4 linked regions of the Arabidopsis thaliana genome follow. The protein of the gene in region 4 binds, or shares a complex with, the protein of the main gene of each other region. Each region holds a gene or a part of one and is shown on either strand. Other genes may lie near its edges.

Region 1 (4,701 bases), on a different chromosome or scaffold from region 4:
AACAGGTGAAAAAGTTGGACCAGAAAAGATATGAACTCCACCACGAAGAAAAGCAATCGCAATTTCACCACCATGAGCAGAATAGACAATCCGTGCAAGTGTCCGAATATCACTTGGCAAATCAAAAGGATCAAATACAACCTTGTTAGCCTTCTCATCACCAGAATCAGGCTCCTTTGGTGCATCCACACTTGGTCCTGCTGCAGCTACTTGATGATTCTTAAAATCTTTAGTAGGTGGTATGCTCATATCCACTCTGGATACCCAGACAGTTTGCGTGGGGACCTGTCCTCCAAAATTTGAAGTTGGGTTTCCAAATATCTGATGCAGTACAACAGGTTGAACACTTGATTCCCAGCGCTGTACTCTCCAGCCTGTGATTGAAGGACCTTCATCTGGATCATACGGAGACATGTACTGCCCTGCAGACACAAACAATTAGCATTTATTTTAAACAATAGATTGAAGCTGTTGCGCTTCATCACTCAAACAAAATTAGCATTTTCTCATCTGGCAGCTCTTCAATATATGAGCATTTCTAAATGATTGACCAAAAACTAAACGTAAACCTGAAAATGTTTATTCAATCATGGAAACAGTATGAGGTTCCGAGAAGGATGAGAACAGTACCTTCAACTATAACAACTGCTATCACTGAACCACCACGAGTTGGATCAAAAGCAACAGCGGTAACACCAGATCCCCATGTTGTGGTTGCTGCAGACTGAGCTGCAGCCTCTGGACTTACATAAGCAGAAAAATTGGAAACCGGTGAGCAACTTAGCGATATAGCATCACTGGAATCTTGATCTGAGGGCTTCTTCCCTTGCTTTATCTCGGATATTAAGTATTCTTGCCAGCTAAACAAGTACGCAGCTAAAGGAGCAAAACCTGTCCAAGAAGAAGAACTAAGGGATGGTGGCACACGACTGCCTGTAGAGATTTTTGGAGTCGCCTGGAGTCCATTTCCAGGGCCAGGGGTCACCTCCCATACTACAATTGTTGAAGGGTTTACAATTGGAACTCCTGCTACATGCATGGCACCACTGTCTGTTATAATAGCATCAGCAGCCATAATTCCACTTGGCCCTGCACCTAAAAGACCTTTCTTTGTACTAAACCACTTTGGTGCAGTGCTTCCCTGGTTAGAAGGCCACTGGGACCAATGAATTTGAACAGAGCCGGATGAGAAAACAGAGCATACACAGAGAAAGTTGGGCCACCGAGCTGCAACAAATGGTAGAGAATCAGAACCGTCACATAAAGTGGAGGAAAATGCACTAACGTCAGAACATGTTGTATTGATCTTGTCACATATATTTGGATGTCAAAGGAACTGACATAATTAAAATTAAGTGCATAATTCTGAATATATCATCAAAAAATGAGTCACAAGAGGCACGCAGAAGAAAACCTGAGCTTTCAGAGCTCTGCGAGAGAAATTTCTCCTCGAAAGTTGACTTTGCATTTGTACCAGAACTTGGCTTGGAGGACAACCACCTATACTGATTATCAATAAAAAGAAAACATAGAGGATAAATTTCCTAGGATAAAACTAGAGCAGCAAACTAGGTGGCCAGAAACAACATGATATTAAGTCCTTCAGAACATGTTCTTTGCAATGGCATTATTATCTATCTGTTACTCATTTCCTTATGTGTTCATGCCGATCATTAAAGAAATGCATCTAAGAAACGCAAATTGGAAGATCTTTTAGGAGTCTAGTAATTTTGCAAACAGAGAGTTGGGATTTCCAGGACGTTGTGTTTTCTCCATCTCATTTCCTCCAAAACGTAGAGACATTTCCAGTTCAATTACTCACGATTTAGTAATCCCAGTGCCCACTCTCACATGCAAGCCCTCCATTACTAATTTAACGAACTCATTAAGGGACAAATATGCTGTGCATTTGATAGAATGGCAAATAAGCAAAACATAAGATTACATACTGGGGAAGCCCCTGTCAGCCACTTTGTAACAACAGCAATGTCCTGACGCCATTCATGCTCACACTGCCAGGAGGTAGCGTCGTGCACTAAATTAGCCGAACCCTGCAAAACCAATCCACAAAAAAAAAATCATCTGAGGGTGTCATAAAACATCTTGACACAGAAGACAAAGAAGAAATATAAAGGTAAATCCCAGTGATCAGGAGCACAAACCTGAGTAGGCTGCGTCCAGATAGTTATACGTCCATGAAAATTAGCAATGAGTAACGCACGAGGACAAGAAGTGGGAGACCATTCGATAAATTGGACAGAATCACGAGGAGAGTCTACATATAAAAAATTGCATCATAATCGTTTATCACCCACTAGATCAACCGAGTTCATAAATAATTAACTGATATCAAAATACCTGCCACAACATTAAACACCGCACACTCAGTAGGGCGCTCAGGTATCAAGATATGTATTGGTATCCAAAAAGGTGTATTTGCCTTGGAGCTGCAAGAGATGAGAACAGAGAAAGATGAAAATTGAGAAATTCATCACTGCCCATACATTCAAGACATAGAAAAGTAACAAAAACCATACCTTGGAATCCTGGCACAGGTCTCGGAAGCACAAGCAATAGCATTCAATTTGCCACACCACGCAACAGCACTAACACAAAGAAAAGGAGAAAACTTTACAGGAATTGATGAAATTTAAAGATTTTCCGATGGGAGAGAGAGTCAAACCTGAAGTTACGGCACAATTCAGGAACACTCATCTTATGAAGCAAATTGGAATTGGGCTGCTTAAGCTTAACACAGAAAACTGTAGCCGGACTCACAGGATCAATCTCCATGTTACTACTACTACTATTATCGTCTTCTTTCTCTCCGTCTACTGATTTCTCTAACAATTTCTCCTCAACGACGACGAGAATCGGATCGGTAGACTCAATAGTCTCTTCCTGCTTCTGCTGTAATCCTTCTTCCTCTTTCTCCTCCACTATAGCTGGAGCTTCGATGATTCCTCCACCACCGCTATTATTAACCAAAGAAACTTCTTCTTCTGGGTTTTGCTGATTCATGTCAACGAAAGCAAACAAAACCCTAAATTTATAGAAAAATCGGAGAAAAGAGGGCAAGTGTGACAAAAAGTCGCGATTGAAGGCGACAGAAAGCACTGTGCGTTGAGAGAGAGAGAAAGTGTCAAAGTGAGAAACTGTTAAGTGGGGTTAACGAGACGACTTAGTGCGGGGAAAATTCCAAAATCCCCACAAAATCAAAATCGAACAAAAAATGCAATTTTGATTTTAGGGTTTGGTGGAGTCACAGTCTCGTCGCCGGGATGCAGAAAAAAAATCTCGGTGAAAGTGATGCAAAAACGCCGTCGTGTCTGGTCACTTTCTCTCTAAATTTTTTTCCCCTCTTTTTGTAATTTTTTACTTTTTCTTTTAAGAGCAAAAAATGAAGAAGTAAATTTTAAATGATAGTTTTGAATCTTTTGATTAAGGAAAATGATCATAATTTCATTTTTTCTTCTAATTTACCATCTTCAAATTCAAATTTGTAAACATGGAAAGGTACTAACTTAATTTGACATTTGGCATTTGAGGATCCTTGTTTGACATTAGTTTTTTTTTTTTTTTGCTAAATTTGTTAATATCATTACAATGAGAGTTCAGAAAATACAAGAACGTACAACCTATAGAAAAGTAACCAAGGCAAAAAAAATAAAAACAAGGCTACAATAGAATTAGAAAAGATTTAGGTGTGTTTAACGAATCCATAAAAGCATTAGCCGCTGCCAACGCTTGCGATGTCGTCGAGAAGTGATTAGGTTGCGAAGCTCACGATCCACCAATTTGAAGATGATAAGAGGTGCCACGCGAGTAGAGTTGTGCAAAATATTAGGCTTAGGCATTAGTTCATTTGCCTCCTCCCAAATCAAAAGTTAGGCTTAGGCATAAGTGTTTCCCATGGTTGTTGTATCTCCCTCAATGTAGCACGACCAAGAATGAGAATCACTTATTGCTTACACCAAATTCTTTGAGTTACATGCATAGCGTACTGAAAACTAGTTGTTTCGGCTTCTAACTAGATACAAGCAGAGCCATCCATGAGCACAAACGGGTCAAGCTCATGCTTGCGGCTTCAATTAATATAAAGGGAATTTAATGAAAAAAAACCTCAACTTTGGCCAGATCCATTTTTAAACCCTAAACTATGTTTTTAGTAAAACAAACCCTGAACTAAAACCTGTTAATAAACTTAACCCTAAACGTTGTTTAATTACTGTGGGGTTAAGTTTATTAACAGGTTTTAGTTCAGGGTTTGTTTTACTAAAAACATAGTTTAGGGTTTAAAAATGGATCTGGCCAAAGTTGAGGGTTTTTTTCATTAAATTCCCTAATATAAATAAAACTTTTGCCTCATTTTCTTATAACTTTCAGTAGAAAAGTTGGTTATTTGCTTATAAGATTACATTAGAGAGTCAAAAGTTTGAGTTCATCTTCATCTTCATTTGCCTTTTTATTTATTTTTTCATTTTCACTCATTAAACTAGAACCAAAAAAAAATTCCTTCTTTCAATCTATTAAATACTAGGGATGGATATGTCTTTGCACCATACCCTTTTAACCACCTTCTCATATCTAAGAATGCACCAAATTTCAAACTTATTCATTCCATGTTTACAACATTACTTATAAGTTTACTTGAGCTAGTTGTTCAATTTAAAAATCTCCCTATGTGAAGGTTGTTTTGCC
Region 2 (3,200 bases), on a different chromosome or scaffold from region 4:
CTCCTAGCCCCATACTTAATTTGGAGTCATTAATCAGACTTTCTGCTTTTGAATCTGGTGAATGTGTAGGTTCAGGCAAAGTTGGAACCACAAAACTCAGCTGGAGCTTTTTGTGGATCCTTATAATCGGGGTGGGTGTTGCAGGTCTTTCTGGATATGCAGTCTACAAATACAGAATCAGGGTATACGATGTTCTTTACTCTGGTCTTGTTATCATATTAAAACATAGGAAGATTTTGCGGTCTAGATAGAGATGCTAAGTAACAATTGAAATTATGCAGAGTTACATGGATGCGGAAATTAGAGGGATCATGGCACAGTACATGCCATTGGAAAGTCAACCACCCAACACAAGTGGTCACCATATGGATATATGAGTGAAGTTATCAACACAAGCCAAGAGACTCTCTCTCTTTCTATGAGTAGCTTTAAGTTTCCATGTAAATGAATCAATGGACTTGATACAACTCTAGAGAAAAGAAAAAAGCCACAAACAGAAATAAGTGTACCTGCACTATTTGTAAGAAATGTGGATTTGCAGATGGAATCTCCTTTTTGTCTGCATATTACTCTTACAATGTAAAATAGACATAACTGGATGAATAATGAGTGTTACATTATTTACTGTTGAAACTAACTTAAGATCCATAAGAAGAAAAACAATAAACTTTGATTGAGAGATTGTTAAACTTTCTCCAGCTCATCTCTGTGTTTCTCAATCTGTTCTTTCACAAGCTTCTGCGACTCTTGGAAAAGCCTCATGTGCTTCTTTATAAGCTCATCTTTTGTCTTAAGCTCTTCCTCCATTACTGCAATATCCTGTTAAGAACAGAACAGAAGAGAGCAGAAACTGGTAAGACAATATGTGTTTGGAGTTTTCACATTGGTAAATCAAACCACACCTTCTTAAGGCTTTCAGCTCTCGAGGGCGCGCGATCTTCTCGCTTTAGTCCCATGAAGTAAAGCTGAAGCTTTTTCGCAGCTTCCATGAAATCTCTGGCGTGCCGCTCCACATCAACTGCAGCAGTTCAATGAGGGGAATTAAGCTAGAACATCGAATATGGAATCAAAGCTTCGGTTTCAACTGAATTCTAAGCACAAAATTCACTGAGATCATAAGTTAAGCACAAAAACAAACACAACTTCCAAACTATCATTCAAACTAAAACCCTAGAATGGTGAAATTGGAGAGTAGAAAAGGGACTGACTTTGATGAGAAGGGTGAGGAGAGCGATCGATGGCCTGAAGCTCTCTCGCCGGCAAACATGGTAACAGAGCAGCTTCCAAGGCTGTGACGCAAGCCATAATGTCCTCTATGTCATTATTCTGATTGTTCGAGGGGGTCTCCGGTGATCTGATTCCCGGTGGACGGTCAGGCGGTGACGGCGAAGGGTCAGAAGACTGCGGCGGCTTTTGCTGATAATCCATTCACGCCGATCTCGATCTCTCTTTCTCTCTGCTTGTTTGTTTGCCCATAAGGTTTAGTGAAAAATATTATAATGGGGGCCCATTTACTGGATTTAATTTGGGCTTATTGGGCCTTTTCCACATTCTTAATTGTTCTTAAGAATATCATTTTGATGTAATTAATTGAAAACACTGAAAATTCATTTTTAATAAATATATGAAGTAAATCATTTATTTCATATGAAAAAACAATAGTAAGGAGAAGGAACAACATTTTCTGATACTTTACTCTTGATTTGATGTCACAAGATATAACAGATGATGGCTTTTGTAACAAATTTTGATTCCTTATGTAACTTTTTATCTCCATCAAATTAGATAAGTTACATCCTTACTTAAAGATTTTTTAGCTATGGATTTTCTAATGAAATTTGTAAAATGAGTAAGCGATTGACTAAATACTGTAACCATTCTCTTCATTATCAGTGAAAATAGCTTTTAACACATCTCTCATTCTCTTCCTTCTGATTCACAATCATCCATGTGAAAAGATGACAACAAAAACCTTAGATAGAGAACTCACACATTAGTTACAGAAGAAAGATTCTCATTTACTACTACATAAGGAAGTACGGAACATATGATCAGACATCAAGCTTCCCGGTCGGAGAAAGTCTGCTACTCCGGTATTTAGGAGACAAGTTAACAAACTCCAAAGCCTGTGTTCTGAGCTGAACCGGATAATCAGCTGCACAACCGATTCTTGGACCAACTCCTGTCGACCATTTCAGTGACAACTGATGTCCCAATTGTAATGATCTTGACTGTTTCTTTGAGTTTATCCTTAGTAGCATAGATTTCTGCGGCACGTTAGCTTTTGGACTCCCAAGTCCACCTGAGAGTGTTCTCTGGTAGCTACTCCGTTTTGCCTCCTCAAGTGTTCCCACTGTTCCGTTACCGTTCTCATCTGTTTCAGTCTCTGCTTGGAATGTTGTGTCCTCTTTCTTTAACGGTTCCGGTTCAGATCCTCCGTTGGATTTAACATAATCATCGTAGCTGTCAGAATCTTCACTAGCTTTATGCACCTACACATACATAGATATATTAGCTCTCAAGTAGTCTCTTTTTCTAAACAACCAAACTCTAGTTAATGATATCATTCACCAGCCAAGATTAGAACAAGGGCATTACCTCAACATTGTCTAGGTTCACTGCGTTCTCTCTGAGAAACCCGAGAAATGTGTCGAGACTATCGTCTGACGGCCTGTAATGTCCGCTATATGCAGAGATTGTCTGAGATTAAACCGAAAACAGAACGATCAAACAGAGAAATCACAGAAGGCAGACATAATAAAAAAGTTGATATGAATGAACATGTATCTCAACCACTCTAAGAAAAGGACGTGGCCTTAGTAAGTTACCTTGAGAACTCCATTGTCAACAATCACCCTCCCAGCAGCTAATGTAGCTCCTCCAGCCAAAAAGCTTGAGTGATGGAACCTTCCTTTCTTTTTCTGAAGTAAACATAAACAAAGAAAAGAACCATTAGAATCTTTTTCAATACTAATATCAATTCATCACCAATAGAAAGATATAACGGTTTTAACTTACCAGACCGGCATAGAGTTTCTTGAAAGTACTCATAACAAAGATCCATTTTGTTCCTTCCGATCCATGCATTGTGTGTAAGAACTTTCCAGTTAACTTGTGAACAATCTTCCCTTCTATGATCACATACTCATACTCTTCCCTCTCTTGCTGATACCAGAAAAGGCTTATATGAGAGAAATCCC
Region 3 (4,299 bases), on a different chromosome or scaffold from region 4:
TTCGAGTTTGTCGACGGTCGTGATCCGTTGCCACCACACAGATCCGCCGCGAGTTGATGGCTGAGATGAGGCAAGGCAGGGCATGAGGAAACAACAACCTCGCTTCGCGAACAACGCCTCGTGCATATCGTCGGTGGCATCAACTTCAGCGATCGGCGGCGATTGATGACTCATTCTCAGAGAGAAACAGAAACGAAGGAAATATGGAATTTCGTCCTGATCTAGCTACTCTCTTTTGTCTCCTTAGATCGTCGTTCCTCTTCTCATCTCCAACTCTAAACCCTAATTTTCTCCCTCTACCCAAGAGATTTCTATCACCTTCTCCAATCAACGCGTCTCTTGAGCTGTAACTAAAACAGAAGAGCACAAAACGGCGTAACCGCCAACCCGGCAATATTGGTTCTCATTAACCCTTTTTAACCGCTTTGGTTTTATCACATCTAACCGGGAATTTCAGCTGTTGATGCTATTAATTTATTAAACCACATATGAATGAAGGGGTTCATATACGTAATTGACGTTAGCACATTTGGTTCCAAGTATTGATCGATACATTAAACCGCAATAAAATTGGTCCGTTTCTCTCTGGCCCAAAATTGGTTCGATTTCTCCATAAGCTGAAATTGATAACTCCCAGTGGATGTAATGTATCTAATATTCTTGGAACAGATTCATTGCAAGTGAATGTTCTAACCAAAATCACCTAATCTTTTTGCAAAATCTAATATAGTAAGTAGGATAATATCTTACTTTTGCAACAAGCCACTCATTCGTAAAAACCGGACATACTTTAATGGGATAACCTACAAGTCTACAACTCATCTGGAAACTATATCACAACCGATGGTTTAGTATAGTTCTTCAAGTAACCTTTTTATGAATACCAATATCAATCAGAAGAAGGATACCGGTCAGCAGTTTGTTTCAGATCTTCAAGCTGCGTGAGAACATATTCAAGCTTCTGGAAGCAGATCTCATTGGCTATTCTCGCGTTGTAATCGCATTTCTCAAAGGGACGGTACTCGCAAGCGCTTTTGATCTCTTCCCTTAGTGTCACTTGTATATCCTGCAAGTTTCACAAGAACTTCATCTTATTATGGATTGGCGATAACATTATAGCACATTTATGTACAGTCAAAGATCAACAAGTTCATGAACCAGACAATGAAGCTGATATCTTCAAACTTTATGATTATCTCTAGAAAAAAAGCAGAATCAAAAGCTTTTTACTTGTTCACAGAATGTAATGATCCCTAATCTAGACATGTGTCAAATGAGAGCCCAAATGTTCTTTAAACAGTGAGATTCCATCCAATATGAAAATATCAGCATCCATCACTCATAAACCTTAAGCCTAAGAATAAAGGATCAATGTCAAATCCTAAGAAACAGGAAAGGAATACAAACCTAGAGATTGTGATACATGAACCCATATGTTAACTAGTCACAGAAGAATCACAAAACGAGAAGCAGCGGCCATCTTGAAGACTAAAACCAAAATCAAAATTCTAAACAAAGCCCTTAACTTTGATCAGGAAATGTAATGAACCCTAATATAGACTTGTGTCAAATTAGCCCAAACGATCAACACTCGAGAAAAGATACCAATTCCCCAGAGAGATTGAGTCAGCAAGAACACTAATCTAGCTAGACTTGTGTCAAGTGATCCCCAATGTTCTTTGATCAGGTAGTTTATTAATACACTAATGCAAAAGAAATCAGAAAATATTTGAAGAAGAGATAGAGTAAGAAACCTTCATAGATTGCATAAACTCTCGGCAATGGCTGTTGACGAACTCTTTCTTGGGACCAGAAGGGCTCGCGAGTTCTTCCATCACTCCACCAGCTAGTTCCAAAACCTTAACAACTCTCTGCCCGGAAAACCAAAAATAAAAACACAAAAACACATTCACATCAAATCGTCCAATAAAATCTCTAAGGAAAGAGTGAGTTTTCCAAAATTTCACATTCTCAACATTCTGGAGTCGCTGCAACGAAGTGTTCTGCGTCTGCGGATCCATTGGACTCTCCACGATTTCTTTTAGACCAGAGAGAGAGAACTCCAAACTGAGATATATCACAATACCGTCAAATCCACTCATACACATACCCTAAATACTCAAATCGGAGCAGTGGGAGTACCTCAATCGAACACGGCGACGCGAGACAGTGAAGATGGCAGAGACGATGAAATAACACGGAGAATTTCGATTGGAAACGGCGTGCTTATGATCAGCAACGGAGGGAAGATTTTGGGGAATCGGCGACACTCGGCAATACAGATCGGTGAAGGAAAAAGCAAAGAAGATACAAGTTTTTTTTGTCACGTAAAACGGCACGAACTCTACTTTATCAATTCAGGAACAGCGAGTAGTTAAAATATTGAATTACGAAAACACCCCTTGGTTCAGATAAAATCTTTGTGATGGCCGCTTTTCTCATTTATAACGGATAAAAACCGTAAACAATACACAAGAACAGAGGCTGACACCTAAAGCTTACTCTCTAACTGCAATGGCTCACTTCATAGACCTCAACAGTCTCACCAACACTTTACCGTCTCTTCCGAAACTACCCGAGAGTCGTAAAACCGGGAAATCCAGCGGGTTTGCTTGCAGGAGAACTGAAGAATTTCAAGAACCGGATTCGGTACAGATCACAAGACGGATGACATTAGGATTTGCTGTCTCAATAGGTCTTACCGGAATTCTCGGCGAAAATAATGTTTCCTTGGCACAAGACAATGGGTTTTGGATTGATGGTCCTCTTCCAATTCCTCCTATTTACAACAGTAAGCGCCATTTTATATTCTTGATTGTTTTCTTTCTTCAAATGTTTGAACATTTTGAGCCATACAACTATTCAAGATGAGAATTCGATTTGGTAGAATCATTTGATTTCCGGTTTTGAATTCGTCCTCGATTTGAATATACAGATATCGTGAATGAGAAGACGGGAACGAGAACATTCATAAAGAAAGGAGTGTATGTAGCGGATATCGGGACGAAAGGAAGAATGTATAGAGTTAAAAAGAATGCTTTTGATCTCTTGGCAATGGAGGATTTGATCGGACCAGATACTTTAAACTATGTGAAAAAGTACTTGAGGCTTAAATCCACATTTTTGTTTTACGATTTCGACAATCTCATCTCTGCTGCTGCCTCTGAAGACAAGCAACCTCTCACTGATTTAGCCAACAGATTGTTCGACAATTTCGAAAAGGTAAGTGTACTAATGAAGTCCTGGTTCGTTCAAACCGAAGAGACTATTGTTTTTTTAAAATTTCTTCTCTTTTCTGATATATCCTATATGTTTATTTGTTGTTTTCTTGGTGTTTCGACACAGCTTGAAGATGCAGCTAAGACGAAGAACTTAGCAGAGACGGAATCGTGTTATAAAGATACAAAGTTTCTTCTTCAAGAGGTAATGACCAGAATGGCATGATCCTGGTTCGGTTTATACCGGTTTACTTGCTATTGATGATCCTACATGGTTGATAACTCTGTGGTCATAAATTGTAATCTTTGCGGAAAAATATTGAGATCTAGTAATCAAAAAAAAAAAATGTAATGTATAGACCAAAATATGATCAAATTTATAACGAATTGGATTTTAATTTTTCAATCAAAGATACAGAAAGAAGAGTATATGCACTAAATGTTTAATATTGAAATCTTAGTTTTAAGAAAACATTTGGCCAAAAAAAAAAAAAGTTTTAAGAAAACCAATGTAATATAGACTAAAACATGATATATATCAAATAAACCGACTAACTTTTTGCCTAAAACTAACGGTTGAGTCGTTGAGATTTATCTTACCACATCGACATATTCACACACAAAATAAAGAAACAAACCCATAAACCAAAGATAGAGAAACAGTGGTCGTACAACGTTTACTCACAGAGGCTTACAATATCAAACTGAGGGCTTGTGACTGTCATGAACCCGCAACAAGACCCTCTCGAGCCACACCTGCGACATTGGTGACACGTATCACAGCCTGTGCACTAAGAGGTGAGAGGTTTGATTGGCAGAAGATTTGCCAAGTGACTGGCTCTGGATGCTCCTCCTTCGGTTCGACATTAGTAGTTTTCTTGTACACTGTCTGAAGTTCCAGTAAGACTGCCCGTGCAGCCTCCCGAGATTCTGGGAGTTGGTCACTGAGCTGAGACGATGCTGCTTGGACTAGTTTCTCAATTCCATATTCTCTAATGCCTTCAATGCCCTAATGATTACACAGCCAAAGAAAGGTGATGTTGGTGGGAACATGGACTGGATCCAAATTGGTTGTCATGGT
Region 4 (3,824 bases):
AATCATTATCTAATTCTTCTCTTGTCACCCCCTGAATTGTTAAAATGATGGTTATAATGTGCAGTATGAAGATGAAGACCACGATAAAGTGTTGTTGGCTTCAGATAGTGACCTTCAAGCAGCCATAGAGCATGCAAAATCAATTGGCTGGAAGGTAAAAAGAACGATTTCCTCCTGCTTTAAACTTTTGGTTGATAAGCAACAAGAACCAAAGTCGAAGATGAAACCTTCATGAGATTGCCCATAAACCCCTTTTGCTTTCTGAATTGATTTGATCATTATAAATTGCAGAGTCTGAGATTACATTTGGATGATTCAAGAGAAGGCAAAGGAAGAAGAAGGAGAAGAGCATCAGGATCAGCAGAATCAATGGAGTATGTAGAGACAGACGCTTGGGCTGCTGCTTATAGTGGAGTTGCGGCTGGTGCAGCATTAGTAGCTGGTCTTGGTTTTATGGCTTTTCTCAGAAAATTCGGTCATTGATTCCTCAGAAACACTACAAGAAGTGTTTCTTTAACAGATCAATACAAACAAAAAAGAAAAACAGACACAGGGTTTGAAGGTTTTGTCTGAAATATTTTTATATACAAAAGTCATTTTTGATTATTTTTTTGGCTTCATGATATCAAAATAACAAATATCTAAAACTAATACATGGAGTAATTCAAGAACAAGGCTTAGAATCTTTGTCTAAACTGATCTCACTATTGTCAAAAAAATAAAACTCAAACAGAACAAGGGCTTTGCCATGTAGAGATATCTGCTATAAGTTCCCGAAGTTTATCTATAAGTTCTTTAACATGAACATTCTTCTTTGCAATCTCCTGCATGAACAAAAGCTTCCGTTTATTAATGCCAACAGAGAAGAACAATATAATCACTTCCCATAAGGTTATTAACATAGAAATCAAAATGACCAGATGGCTGAAATGTATTCAAAAAATTATCAACATTTCCATGGTTCTAGAACCGCTTAAGCTATAATGATACAAACACTTACACTAGACAGTGGGAAAGAACACTTTATACAAGAAAATATGAATCAAATTCAATGCTATGTGAGTTGAAATGTACAGAGAATTCGAGACTGAATAGTGTATCAATGTAGTAACATCAGATTGAAAACAAAGAGATGTAGAAATTGCAGAAAGCTTTACCATTCTGAGACTTAAGGCTTGCTCCTCCAATTTTTCGATCTCGTCTTCACTTTCAGGAGATCCTAAACCATTTTGCATTTCAGATGCTTTTGCCTGTAATAGATGAACAAATTCAAATTTATGAAACCTCAAAAAAGCTCTCATTTAAAATTAAGCAAGTTCACTACAAGTGAAGAACAAGACACTCAACAAGCATTAGATCCTTCATCTAAACTCTCTATCGATTCGAAGATTTCCTAATCTAAGATCTCAAAACACCCTAGGAATTCAAAATTTCCTCAGTCCAGAAACAACTCAGAACAAAACACTTCTCGAAATAGTTAGTAACATCACATTATGTTCAATACCTTCTGCGAATTTGGAATCGCAGCAAGAACAGCACGAAGCGAAGTCACTGAGTTCTTATACCGAAGACTCGCCTCATCCAAAACACTATTTCCACTTCCTCCGCCCCCGCCACCACCAGCAGATTCCGAATGATGCGATGTTCCATCAATCGCAGCCGCATCGGCGGAAACGAGAGCCGAACCATTAGAACCCGTCGTCGTCGCGGCGGAACTCGGGGTAGCTGAAGTAGACCACAAAGACGGATTACAAAGCTCATCATTCATGGCTGAAATTATCTGAAACGCCGCTTCAATAGTTTCTTCCAATTGCTTCTCTCCTTCCATCGCTAGCTCCTGTGTCGTCATCGTCGTCGTCGTCGAGACCTGTTTCTGCAGCATCACCGTGAACACACTTTATCACGGCGTCGGTTGACTAAACTATTAATACGATGTCGTTTTAATCAAACTATATAATATATATATCAATAATATAGTTTTTATAGATAAATAAAAATAGAAAGAAATCAGCTACATCGCTGTCTACCTTATCCACTATTACTCCAATCCATATGACAAAAACTATCTAAAACGTTAGTTTGATCTTTTGATCCAATCACAAGGCAAAGATCCAATGGACAATAACAACAACAACAACAACCAGCAACCACCACCAACCTCCGTCTATCCACCTGGCTCCGCCGTCACAACCGTAATCCCTCCTCCACCATCTGGATCTGCATCAATAGTCACCGGAGGAGGAGCGACATACCACCACCTCCTCCAGCAACAACAGCAACAGCTTCAAATGTTCTGGACATACCAGAGACAAGAGATCGAACAGGTAAACGATTTCAAAAACCATCAGCTCCCTCTAGCTCGTATCAAAAAAATCATGAAAGCTGATGAAGATGTGCGTATGATCTCCGCCGAAGCACCGATTCTCTTCGCGAAAGCTTGTGAGCTTTTCATTCTCGAACTTACGATTAGATCTTGGCTTCACGCTGAAGAGAACAAACGTCGTACGCTTCAGAAAAACGATATCGCTGCTGCGATTACTAGAACCGATATCTTCGATTTCCTTGTTGATATTGTTCCTAGGGAAGAGATCAAGGAAGAGGAAGATGCAGCATCGGCTCTTGGTGGAGGAGGTATGGTTGCTCCCGCCGCGAGCGGTGTTCCTTATTATTATCCACCGATGGGACAACCGGCGGTTCCTGGAGGGATGATGATTGGAAGACCGGCGATGGATCCTAGCGGTGTTTATGCTCAGCCTCCTTCTCAGGCATGGCAAAGCGTTTGGCAGAATTCAGCTGGTGGTGGTGATGATGTGTCTTATGGAAGTGGAGGAAGTAGCGGCCATGGTAATCTCGATAGCCAAGGGTAAGTGAATTCTAGTAATATTCAGCAATGTAGCTTGTTGCAATTGATTATCTATGGTTATTGAGATTCTTCATGAGCTTGCTTTGATTAGTCTTAGAGGAATTTGCTGCTCTGTGTCATCTTCATTGATTCTCATCAAATAAGCTAAAAATTGATAATATCAAAGAAGCTCAATTTACAGTATCATCTGGCTCATTTCTTTAGATTCATAAACAAAACTTTGTAAAATACACAATTTTGATATCCATTATTTGATTTGACTCACACCTTTGATTATTTGTACAATGTTGTGCAGTTGAGCTATGGAACCAGAAGCTTAGAGATTTAATCATCATTTCGACCCTGCAAGTGTCTGATTCTTATATGTCTATGATTCGAATGACTTACTCGAGAGAGAGAGAGAGATCAAACAAAACAAAACAAAAAAGCTCTTTTTCATTTTTCCTGTTAACTTATAAGTTATTGCAGCAAAACTGCAGACTTGCTTAACTATATATTAATCTAAATGTGCAGATTCTAATCTATGCTTTGTATTTTTGTTGATTCTTGCTCCTAATCTAGTAATGATCAGAGCTTATGTATGGCATATTGAGTTTGTATTTCATGGCTTGTAGTAGCTTTGAGTTCTCTGTCTCTTATAATAACTTCTTACTTAATCATCTTAAGGCCTGATAAGGCCTATATATTAGCTTTGAATAGACCACGTTTTAACATGTATATATAAATTATATTAAGGCCCATATATTAACTTCTTACTTAATCATCTTAAGGCCTAATAAGGCCCATATCTTTCTCCAATAGACGCAATCGGACGGTGACCATCTCTGTGCCGCTTTGTTCCTAAACGATTTTCTGTCTGTTCTCTCTTTGCTCTCTCGCCCTCTCTTGCTCTTCTGGGTTCGTCTTCCTCGGCTAGGGTTTATCAGTGGTTTGTCAATGGAGGCTTCATCATCTCAACCAT

The links.
Region 1: AT5G63480 (region 4) and SFR6 share a complex: the UniProt entries of both Arabidopsis thaliana proteins name them as parts of the mediator complex.
Region 2: AT5G63480 (region 4) and AT3G52860 share a complex: the UniProt entries of both Arabidopsis thaliana proteins name them as parts of the mediator complex.
Region 3: AT5G63480 (region 4) and AT3G01435 share a complex: the UniProt entries of both Arabidopsis thaliana proteins name them as parts of the mediator complex.

What each region holds. Positions count from the first base shown.
Region 1 is NC_003075.7:2,496,251-2,500,951, reverse strand, and holds the start of SFR6 (sensitive to freezing 6), read right to left. Parts: upstream 3,022-4,701; coding exon 2,684-3,021; intron 2,607-2,683; coding exon 2,538-2,606; intron 2,448-2,537; coding exon 2,359-2,447; intron 2,276-2,358; coding exon 2,163-2,275; intron 2,052-2,162; coding exon 1,950-2,051; intron 1,506-1,949; coding exon 1,415-1,505; intron 1,228-1,414; coding exon 631-1,227; intron 423-630; coding exon 1-422. UniProt on the Arabidopsis thaliana protein: Component of the Mediator complex, a coactivator involved in the regulated transcription of nearly all RNA polymerase II-dependent genes.
Region 2 is NC_003074.8:19,591,314-19,594,513, forward strand, and holds AT3G52860 (mediator of RNA polymerase II transcription subunit-like protein), read right to left. Parts: upstream 1,456-3,200; 5' UTR 1,429-1,455; coding exon 1,209-1,428; exon of another isoform or gene 1,019-1,208; coding exon 903-1,018; intron 820-902; coding exon 685-819; 3' UTR 535-684; downstream 1-534. Other genes in the region: VSR1 (vacuolar sorting receptor homolog 1), read left to right, coding at 70-182, 282-377; AT3G52870 (IQ calmodulin-binding motif family protein), read right to left, coding at 2,052-2,492, 2,599-2,700, 2,829-2,921, 3,019-3,165. UniProt on the Arabidopsis thaliana protein: Component of the Mediator complex, a coactivator involved in the regulated transcription of nearly all RNA polymerase II-dependent genes.
Region 3 is NC_003074.8:165,964-170,262, forward strand, and holds AT3G01435 (uncharacterized protein), read right to left. Parts: upstream 2,326-4,299; 5' UTR 2,143-2,325; intron 2,091-2,142; exon of another isoform or gene 2,068-2,090; 5' UTR 2,022-2,067; coding exon 1,755-2,021; intron 1,067-1,754; coding exon 890-1,066; 3' UTR 551-889; downstream 1-550. Other genes in the region: AT3G01430 (NHL domain protein), read right to left, coding at 1-174; PnsL3 (PsbQ-like 1), read left to right, coding at 2,515-2,791, 2,936-3,222, 3,346-3,444; AT3G01450 (ARM repeat superfamily protein), read right to left, coding at 3,940-4,227. UniProt on the Arabidopsis thaliana protein: Component of the Mediator complex, a coactivator involved in the regulated transcription of nearly all RNA polymerase II-dependent genes.
Region 4 is NC_003076.8:25,415,375-25,419,198, reverse strand, and holds AT5G63480 (mediator of RNA polymerase II transcription subunit), read right to left. Parts: upstream 1,951-3,824; 5' UTR 1,883-1,950; coding exon 1,505-1,882; intron 1,251-1,504; coding exon 1,158-1,250; intron 825-1,157; coding exon 726-824; 3' UTR 564-725; downstream 1-563. Other genes in the region: AT5G63490 (CBS / octicosapeptide/Phox/Bemp1 (PB1) domains-containing protein), read left to right, coding at 65-154, 292-483; NF-YC4 (nuclear factor Y, subunit C4), read left to right, coding at 2,115-2,867; AT5G63460 (SAP domain-containing protein), read left to right, coding at 3,800-3,824. UniProt on the Arabidopsis thaliana protein: Component of the Mediator complex, a coactivator involved in the regulated transcription of nearly all RNA polymerase II-dependent genes.